Linked DNA regions of Callithrix jacchus. The protein of the gene in region 2 purifies or fractionates together with the protein of the main gene of each other region. This does not show direct contact. Links are inferred from orthologs where the notes say so. Each region holds a gene or a part of one and is shown on either strand. Other genes may lie near its edges.

Region 1 (4,970 bases), on a different chromosome or scaffold from region 2:
AAGCTTAACATTATGCAGGGCTTATAATCATTTTCAGGAACAGACTGCAAGCTGCACTGTGAAGAAAATGCATAGCAGAGGAGAAAGCTGGGGATCTGAGGAAACAGGTAAGGAAAAGTGTCAACACAGTGGAAGAAGTGATGAACATACCTACTCCGGAGCTCATGTGCCATGCCCTGCTAGGATGCCTTAACAAGCCACCTGCTCCAGAAGGCCACAGCCTGACGCTCCCAAGTGGAGTATGAATGCCCAAGGGCCACATGAAGCCACCTCCTCCACTACCTGCAAAGCTGTCTGGGAATTGAGCTACAGAACACACGCACTTTCTGGTCTAACCAACATCAAGTGAACGATTTTTTTTCCATTTCATATATCTATTTTTAATACAACTTAAATGCAACTTTCATATAAATTTGGGCTTCCACCAGTCCCTCTCCTCAATTTCCTTAGGAGGAACTGAGTAATTGAAACAAACAAAACAAGATTATAGCTATAAATGACTGCACTTTAAACGTGATTATCAATTTTGAGGGACAGAGATGTGAACGTTTTACAATACCAAACTTAAAAAAAAAATGTATTATAAAAACTGTAACTCATCCCCCAACATTTTAAAATGGTGGTATTATGTTTACACAAACAGATCAATACATTAAATTAAGCCAAGATCTTAAAGATTGGCAAAGTTCTATCATTCTATTTTAAAAAACAAAGATGTTACAAAAAAAAAAAGTTAGTTACTTCATGTTACATTTCACAACCATTATGTTAAATGTTTTCTTTTCTACAGAAACAGGGTCCTTTATATCACAACTGCAAGTATTTACTGCTAGATGTTTAAAGTTACACAGACTACTGTTCAACTGGAACCTGCTGATAGTAACATCTTGAAGTTTTCTGAGTTTCAACCTAAGGTGTGCCAGGTCCTCTCCTAGGACCACTTTTGCGGGGGTGGGGGGGGAGGGAAAGGAAATCACAGATCAAGCTCTTAAGATTGTATCACTCTCTTCGTGGCTTTCTGTTTCTTGGTGATCTGTTCAAAATTTCATCCTCCTATTGATTAAAAAAAAAAAAAGAAAGAAATTCAGTATAATTAGCACATTTAAAAAATAATAAAAGTTCATCTTATTTTCAAGGTCAGCCAGGCTGAGGATAATTTATTTAAGGAAAAAACGAGGAAAATGATTTGAAGAAAAATGCACCAAGAAGAATGGTGGTTTCAGAGGAGTGGAATTATGTCTAATTCAGTTTGGTCTTTATTGTTTTCTATAAACATACATTTTATCAATCTAATCCATAAACATTTTCTTAAAAAAGGATCAGACACTGTGATTTCTTAATCCCCAACAATCTACTGGCCTACGGCCACACTATCCCCATTCTGAGGATAAGAAACCAAGGATTCATGAAGATGGAAGGCTATCCAAGTAGACTGACTCCAAGGCTGCTGCTCTTTGTACTCTATTACCAGTTGCTAAGATTATAAATTACCCTATGAAAATACTCCCTTTATTTAAATGTGTCAGCAACTTTTTTAACGTGAGGAAGTTTGGGGGAGACATGGTCTCTACCTTCAAGAACTGCATTCTAGTTAAGAAAGAACATATCCATTGAAAATATACTAAAGATACAGATAACATTGATCTTTAGTAATAGGAAGGCAGAGTTGTTGTAGCTGCAAGTACCTGAGGAAAGCTTTCCAGGAGAGACCAGATTCAAACACAGAAGTGCTGGGAAAGGGACATTAGTAGGCAATGGTACAGACAATGACTGTTCCTTTTCTCTCATACTCTATATGTCCAATCTACCACAAAACCAAGCCAGAACTCCAACTAGTTCTCATACCCGCTGTTCCTCTCCTGTCACCCTTTGTGGGACTGCTGTATCTTTCCTAGATGATTACAGGAACCTCCTAACTGGTCTCTCTGATATATAGGAAACACAGCAGACACAGTCATCATCCTGTGACACCTGTACCCAAAAGCCTGTGATAGCTGCGCACTTCACTAGGAGGGAAAGCCAAGTCCACACAACAGTCTACTCTGGAGCCTTCTCCACCCTTCTTTTCTCCACTCTGTCTCTCAGCCCACTAGCCATAATGGCCTTAAAAGACAACCACTTTAGGGCTCAAACTGGCTGTTCTCTCTGCCTGGAATGCTCTTCCCACTGATATCCCCATGGAAAAGTTCTCTATCTCTTTCAAGTCGTTGGTCCAATGTCATCTGTCCAATAAGGTTTTAACATGGTGATCCGCCCTACCTCTAGCATTTTTAATAGCTTTTCCTGCCTTAATTTTTCAGAGTTTATCACTTCCTAATATACTATGTTATTTACTTCCTTACAATGTTTACTGCTCATTGCCTGTTTCCCACAAGCAGAATTTAAGCTCCCTAAAGGCAGCATTGTCTGTCTCATTTACAGACAATTCCTAGCACAAAATGGGCACTCATAAATATCAGGTAAATGAATGAACAAATCTATGAACAGGGACAAGAAGTTTAGAACACAGTGATTTGTACAAGAAATACCCTTTAAGGTACACAGTTATTTGTACAAGAAATATTTTTTAGTGAGGAGAGGTAGATAGGTTTTTAATGACCTAACGTTGTCTTCCTAGCAAGCATTTTATTTTCTCCCTACAACCTTCTGCTTATTCCAGAAAATCATTTTCAGCTAAAAGGATACATTTGAGATTCAGATGTAGCTTAAAATTATCAAACAAAACACTGACCTATATCACATAGAATCCCACTTCGACAAAATTGGCTTTAACAGAAATTTTACTGCCATAAGCCACTGTAAACTACCCTATCAAAATATTTCCTTTACATAAATGTACCTTCAACTTGGAAAAAAAAAAGTGTGACCCCTTTCTTTTACCTCTGCTTTAGGTTTTCTGTCTTCCTCCTCTTGACTGACAGTGCCACCATCTTCTTCAGCATCACTTTTCTGTTTCTCTTCTAAGACAGAAGTTAAACAACTGAGCAAACCTTATCATTATTTTTGTTGACAATTAGCATTAGAACACATCTCTAGATCTACAATTTTTTTTGAGATGAAGTCTTGCTCTTGTTGCCCAGGTTGGAGTGCAATAGCATGATCTCAGCTCACTGCAACCTCTGCCTTCAGGTTCAAGCAGTTCTCCTACCATGGGAGCCACTGTGCCTGTCCAACAATTTTTTTTAAGAGATAGGATCTGGCTGGGAGTGGTGGCTCACAACTATAATCCCTACACTTTGGGAGGCCGAGGTGGTAAAATAGCTTTAAGCCGGGAGGCATAGGCTGCAGTAAACTGAGATCACACCACTGCACTCCAGCCTGGGCAACAGGGCCAGACTCCATTTCAAAAAAAAAAAAAAAAATCAGCTGGGCATGATGGTGTATGCCTGTGGTCCCAGCTACTTGAGGGCCTGAGGTAGGAGGATCATTTGAACCTATAAGGTCGAGGCTGCAGTAAACCATGATCATGCCATTGCACTCCAGCCTGAGTTACAGAGTGGGACCTTGTCTTTAAAAAAAAAAAAAAAAAACGAGACAGGGCCTCACTCTATCGCTCAGCTGGAGTACAGTGACACTATCCTAGCTGATTATAGCCCTGAACTCCTGGGCTCAAGCATTTTTCCTTCTTCAGCCTCCTAAACTGCTACTATTACAGGCCTGAGCCACCACACCTGGTTGTAAACAATCTTTAACTTGACTGTAAAGGTTTAACAACATTGTCGGGTCTTGGTGTGAAGCAGATTATCTGGACTCTTATTTCTTACCAAGTTTCTCTTCGCCCTCTTCTTCCTCATCTCCCTTGTCTTTTTCCTCTTCCTTCTCTTCTTCCTCTTCCTTCACATCTGGTTGAGGTGCATCGGTCTTCTTATACTCCATAGCACTGGTCTGTTTCTGAAATATTCCCCAAAGTACAATTTCGTTTACATGTTCATGTATCATGTTATCATATTCCTGAATGCCTACAGGCAAAGTTCTGTTCCAGACTGCATACAGGGTTAGATATACAGAAACGAGTAAGATGTTATTTCCTACCCTGAAAAGCCTGTGTGTGTGTGTGTGTGTGTGTGTGTGTGCGCGCGCACACACACATTTCAAGGCAGAACACAAAAAGGGCCAGGTAGGAGAGTACAGGTCAAAAAAGTCAAGGTGACTGAGGCACAGATACTCAGAATAGTGGCAGAGGATGAGGCTGGAAAAAGAACTTGGGATCCAGTTACAAAGTGCTATGAATGCCAGATGAAGCATAATCCTGATTTAGCAGAAGTAGAGGGCCAAAATAAAACTTTCTTTTTTTATGATAGCATGCAACAAAGGCTAAATAAGAAAAACTAACAGTAAGGCTATGGTACCCCAACATACTGTTTTGAGAGTGGGGAAGGTGAAGAAAGAATAGATAATGAGGGACCAAAGACAGAATTACAAAGAACAGAAATAGCTATCTATGCCAGCAGGAAAAGCTGATTATTGTCTGAGTGGTTAGTTTTATATCTAAGTCTATTATAGTTTTAGAAAGCTAATATCAAACATTATGGAGAGTAACATATTAAGATAACAGTAGCGACCAAGGGGCTACAAATCCTGCTCCCATCTGGACACAATAAATGGCTATTGAGGAACAGTAAGTAAGTTTTCTAAAGTCAGCACCATACATGGCTCAGTCATTACTGAGCCACTACAAAGAAAACCTCAGGCAACATATCTTAGTTATTTTTTATAATCACCAGAGTGATGTCTCTAAAAGTGATTCTAAAAACAAAACAAAACTAAAACTTCTTACCTTTCCAGAACAGCAGAAGAGGATAACGAGGAATACAGGCAGGGCTACAGTCAGAATATACACCACCCATAGCCACGGGCGCTCTTCAGCTGCCTCGATCATCTGCCCCACTACACCTGGCTGAAAAACAAGACAGGACTGATTGACAGTTCTGGCCTTCGACAGCAAACAAACACAAGCCGTGCTGTTTTTC
Region 2 (4,970 bases):
AGGGTTTCACCATGTTGGCCATCTGGTCTCAAACTCCTGACCGCAAGTGATCTGTCTGCCTCGGCCTCCCAAAGGCCTGGGATTACAGGCATGAGCCACCATACCTGGGCACATTTATGTTTTAATGGGGGTGTAAAATAGGTGTCTGTCTAGAACAGAATTTCATGATTTCTCTTTATAGTCTGATCTCATTTACTTCTTTCATGATGTCCTCGGAAAACCCCTACCTATTTCTGAAGAAAATGAGAGTTCCCCATCTCACCACCCACAGAAAATCACTGCTTACCATTTTAGTATATTATCCTTGTTAAATATATCTCTTCTATTTCTCTCTCTCTCTCGCTCTCTGTTTAGCGCATTGGGATCATACTCTATACCTAGTATGTTGTATATTGATTTCTTTGCTTTAATTTGTTGTGATTATTTTCCTGTTTAAATTTTTTGATAATTGTATTACTGCATAACATTCCAGTTAACAGTTGTAATACTTATTTAAAATTAGAATTATGAAAACCTTTGTTCTAACATATGTCACAGTCTACAGATCATTAGAATGGGACTTTATGGGTCTACCAGGACATAGGTGTAAGCTGTTAGCCTGCTCCCTCTCAGTAGGTCATTCTCTCCTCCTCCTCCTCCTCACCTTGCTTCTTTACTAGATGTTAAGGTATTAGGGAAGTTCAACAGTTGCTTGGCAGCCAAAACTACAAAAATTACTTAGTAATTGTCTTAACTTTCTCTGTTTTTTTTAAAGTTTAAATTATTTTTTTTATTTTTAGAGTAGGGTCTTGCTCTGTTGCCCAGGCTGGAGTGCAGTGGTGTTATTACGGTTCACTGCAGCCTTGAACTCCTGGCTCAAATGATCCTCCCACCTCAGCCTCTGAAGTAGCTGGGACTAGAGGCAAAAGCCACCATGCCCAGCTTCTGTTTTTTATGAGTGTTTTCTCCAAGTGAAATAAATCAAGAGTAATTTAATAATACTAATAGGCAATATTCTGAGAACAATTAGTATACTCCCTCTTTTTTTCCTTTTTTTGAAAGAGACAGGGTCCTGCTCTGTTACCCAGGCTGACGTGTAGTGGCATGATCATAGCAGCCTTCAACTTCTAGGCTCAAGAGATCCTTCCGCCTCAGCCTCCCAAGTATCTGGGACTACTGGTGTGTCCTATCACACCTGGCTAATTTTATTTATTTATTTTGAGATGGAATTTTGCTGTTATTACCCAGGCTTGAGTGCACTGGTGTGATCTCAGCTCACCACAACCTCCGCCTCCCAGGTTCAAGCTATTCTTCTGCCTCAACCTCCCAAGTAGCTGGGATTATAGGCATGCACCACCATGCCTGGCTAATTCTTTGTATTTTTAGTAGAGATGGGGTTTCTCCATGTTGGTCACGTTGGTCTTGAACTCCCGACTTCAGGTGATCCACTCACCTCAGCGTCCTAAAGTGCTGCGATTATAGGTGTGAGCCACCATGCCCAGCCTAATTTTTTTTTTAATTTTTATTTTTAATAGAGACAGGGTGTTGCTTTGTTGCCTAGGCTGGTCTTGAGCTCCTGGCTTTAAGCGATCCATCTCCCTTGGCAAAGTGCTAGGACTATAGGCATGAGCCATTGCACCCAGCCAACTCCCTTTTCTTTCTTTTTTTTATTTTTGAGATGGAGTTTCGCTCTTGTTACCCAGGCTGGAGTGCAGTGGCGCAATCCCGGCTCACCACAACCTCCGCCTCCTGGGTTCAGGCAATTCTTCTGCCTCAGCCTCCTGAGTAGCCGGGATTACAGGCACGCGCCACCATGCCCAGCTAATTTTTTTGTATTTTTAGTAGAGATGGGGTTTCACCTTGTCGACCAGGATGGTCTTGATCTCTTGACCTCGTGATCCACCCGCCTCAGCCTCCCAAAGTGCAACTCCCTTTTCTTAATGCTCTAAGATTTAATTTACCAAAATTGTTAATAAATAGTATTGTTTTTGGTAGCCTCGGATAAATGATTCCCTTTCCCTCTTTTAGTAATATGGTTAACAAAAATCTGTCATGTTTTATTAGAGGTATAAAGGAGTTTAAGAGGCCATTAAGTCAGGTCTCTCTGACGTCAGGTAGTTCTGAGTCTATGTGGATATAAAGGTACTTCTGTCTTTGTGAATTGTATTATGAGCATTTATTAGCAACATGATTGTATTATGTTTTTGTTCTTCCTGTCATCAGGGTTCTGGGAAGCCTCCTTTCTGCTCACAGAATAATAACTGACTCCAAGCAGCCCTTTGGTGATATGACAATTAAGGATTATGATAATGAGTTGTTATACATGGCTCATGACCTGGCCGTGCGGCTCCTCCCTGCTTTTGAAAACACCAAGACAGGAATTCCATTTCCTCGGGTGGGTAGACTGGTTTGACCCTTTGTGTTTGACAGTTTACTCTCTTCCTGAATTAAAATTCTTTGTTTATTAATTTATTTGGGAGAAGGAGTGGGATGGAGATAGATGAGAAAAGCAGTGTCTTTAGGAGAATTTGGCCTTAAATATTATGTAAATATTTTAAAATTAATTCAGCATTTACTGAGCATCCACTGTATAAAAGGCAAACAGTGACATATCTGACTTATTCCTTCCCCTTTAAGGAATTGATGTTCTGTGAGGTTCAGTATTCTTAAATTCATTTACATGTGTGATTTATATTCCCTGCTACAAAGCAGTGTGGGGAGTTTGTCTTCATCTCTGACTTGGGTTTGTTTCCCCAGAGATTCTCACATGGGTATTGCAGAAGCTCAGTGAGTGTTCTTTTGAATGCTTCACATGGATCTTTCAAATAGAGCCTGCACAGACCAGCAAGTTAGCTGCTGATTTAAATGCCAGGATCTGGAATTAGATTTTATCTTTGTGACATCTGATTTGCCAGGCCCAGAACTCCTCTGGGAATTGAGTCAGCCTTTTAGGTAACTGGCTGAGAATTGCCAGAGCACAGAGCCTTCATGATGAAACAGGCTGTCATATTCTGGCAGTGCCTCCTTTCTCTTCCAGTTGGAGGTTTGTTTAGGTGTTGAGCAGGAGTGAGTTCATAGTGGCTCACTTAAAATTTAGAAGCAATTCTATAGTTTGCCTTGGTATCTAACCCTAAAGCCTGGTGTCTGTGTTACCATGAAGAAAACTTGGTGGAAAGAGACGTTTTAGTGAAGTGTTATAGCCTTTCCCTGAAGACTTGCTCCTCTTAATAAAGCAAGGCTCTGCTGTTCTTATTGTCTTGTTTGTGTCTTTTAAATTTAATTCCCACATTCACCTCATCTGTATCTTGGAAGGCAGAGAGCTGACTCACTGGTAAGCTTCGTTTATTAGCCAAGTGTAGTCTTTGAGATCCAGCTTTTCAGCCCTGTGGGTTCCTTGAGTTTTGTCATAGTCTTTATCTCTTCCCATCCCCAGGTAAATCTAAAGACAGGAGTTCCTCCTGACAGCAATAATGAGACGTGCACAGCGGGAGCTGGTTCCCTCCTGGTGGAATTCGGGATTCTGAGCCGACTGCTGGGGGACTCCACATTTGAGTGGGTGGCCAGACGAGCAGTGAAAGCCCTTTGGAACCTCCGGAGCAACGATACAGGATTGCTAGGTGTGGCACCTTTGCTCGCCATTGGGACTGCACACCGCTTGGTCCCCTTTGCTTTTATCTTCTCTGGGCTCTGCCCCTTTTTCAGTCTTTAACTCAATTGACAACGCAGAAAGAATTGTGTCAGCTGAATCTAATTTCTTTATGTGACCCTTTGCAGAGAGCGAAGCTGGATAGTCTGATGGAAAAGAATGAAGCTTTTGTGTTTGAGGCCTCCCTTCTGATTTGGATCCCCTGGCATATTCCACTTGAAAATTATTGTTAATGGAAATGCCATAAAAAGAACTGCCTCTGAGGCAGATTTTATTGCTTCAATATAAGATTCTAAATATAGGAATATAGAGTTACTTTGGAGCAGCTTTTTGCCTATTAAAAATTTAGGCATGTGGTAGTAGATTGAAAGTCCAGATTAAACCTCTATGAGGTGAGGTTTTTCCTCCCTTGAGAATGTTTGGTCAAGGTGTTACTTAAAAATTATTATGGAAAATTTCAGAGTATAGTAGATATAATGAATAGTAACCCCTGTGTACTCATCATTTATCTTTAATAATTAGCAATATTTTGCTAACTTACAGTGTTATTTGTTTATTTATTTTGAGATAGGGTCTCACTGTGTCACCCAGGCTGGAGTTCAGTGGTGCGATCTTGGTTCACTGCAGCCTCCACCTGCTAGGCTCAATGATCCTCCCGCTTCAGCCTTCCAAGTAGTTGAGATGACCGGCCTGTGCCACCATGCTCATGCTTACTTTATGTAGAGACAGGGTCTCACTATGTTGCCTGGACTAGTCTCAAACTCCTGAGCTCAAGCAATAAGTGCTGGAATTACAGGTGTAGGCCACTGTGTGTGGCCTAGGTGTTAAAGTGGGTTTTTACCTGTTTGTTTAAAGTTCTGAAATTTATGTATTTGTTGTATTTAACAACAGCAATGGAAATAAAGCAGTCGCTCAAGTTGTCAGTCTATCACCAAATAGTTGACTGGTGTCACTCCAGATTGTCAACTGTTTAGGTTTCCATAGATCCTTTCAGCCTGGCATGTGCAACTTTGATATATTTTTCATTATAATATAAACAGATATTTTTATTCTGCCTGACATTTGGCAGAGCACTTGTTTCCAAGTTGTTGCCTTGTTTTCATAGTTACCATTCTTTTTGTTGTTTTGTTTCATTATAAAAAAATTATATTTTCTCTTTTTTTTTTGTTTTTTGAAACAGGTTCTCCCTCTGTCACCCAGGCTGGATGGCAGTGGCACAATCTTGGCTCACTGCAACCTCTGCCTCCCAGGCTTAAGTGGTCCCACATGCTCAAGTGAACCCCCTATCTCAGCCTCCTATCTGGGGCTACAGACACTCACCACAATGCCCAGCTAATTTTTTGTA

Evidence for each region. Proteins that work in one complex are often made in the same cells at the same time.
Region 1: the proteins of EDEM1 (region 2) and CANX purify together in Homo sapiens (affinity purification with western blotting; 6 studies listed by BioGRID and IntAct, with this or other methods). This does not show direct contact. The link is inferred for Callithrix jacchus from reciprocal best matches to the Homo sapiens genes EDEM1 and CANX.

What each region holds. Positions count from the first base shown.
Region 1 is NC_133503.1:71,923,767-71,928,736, forward strand, and holds part of CANX (calnexin), read right to left. Parts: intron 4,898-4,970; coding exon 4,778-4,897; intron 3,892-4,777; coding exon 3,765-3,891; intron 2,961-3,764; coding exon 2,881-2,960; intron 1,054-2,880; coding exon 1,000-1,053; 3' UTR 1-999. UniProt on the Homo sapiens protein: Calcium-binding protein that interacts with newly synthesized monoglucosylated glycoproteins in the endoplasmic reticulum. It may act in assisting protein assembly and/or in the retention within the ER of unassembled protein subunits.
Region 2 is NC_133516.1:62,315,406-62,320,375, forward strand, and holds part of EDEM1 (ER degradation-enhancing alpha-mannosidase-like protein 1), read left to right. Parts: intron 1-2,202; coding exon 2,203-2,374; intron 2,375-3,412; coding exon 3,413-3,596; intron 3,597-4,970. UniProt on the Homo sapiens protein: Extracts misfolded glycoproteins, but not glycoproteins undergoing productive folding, from the calnexin cycle.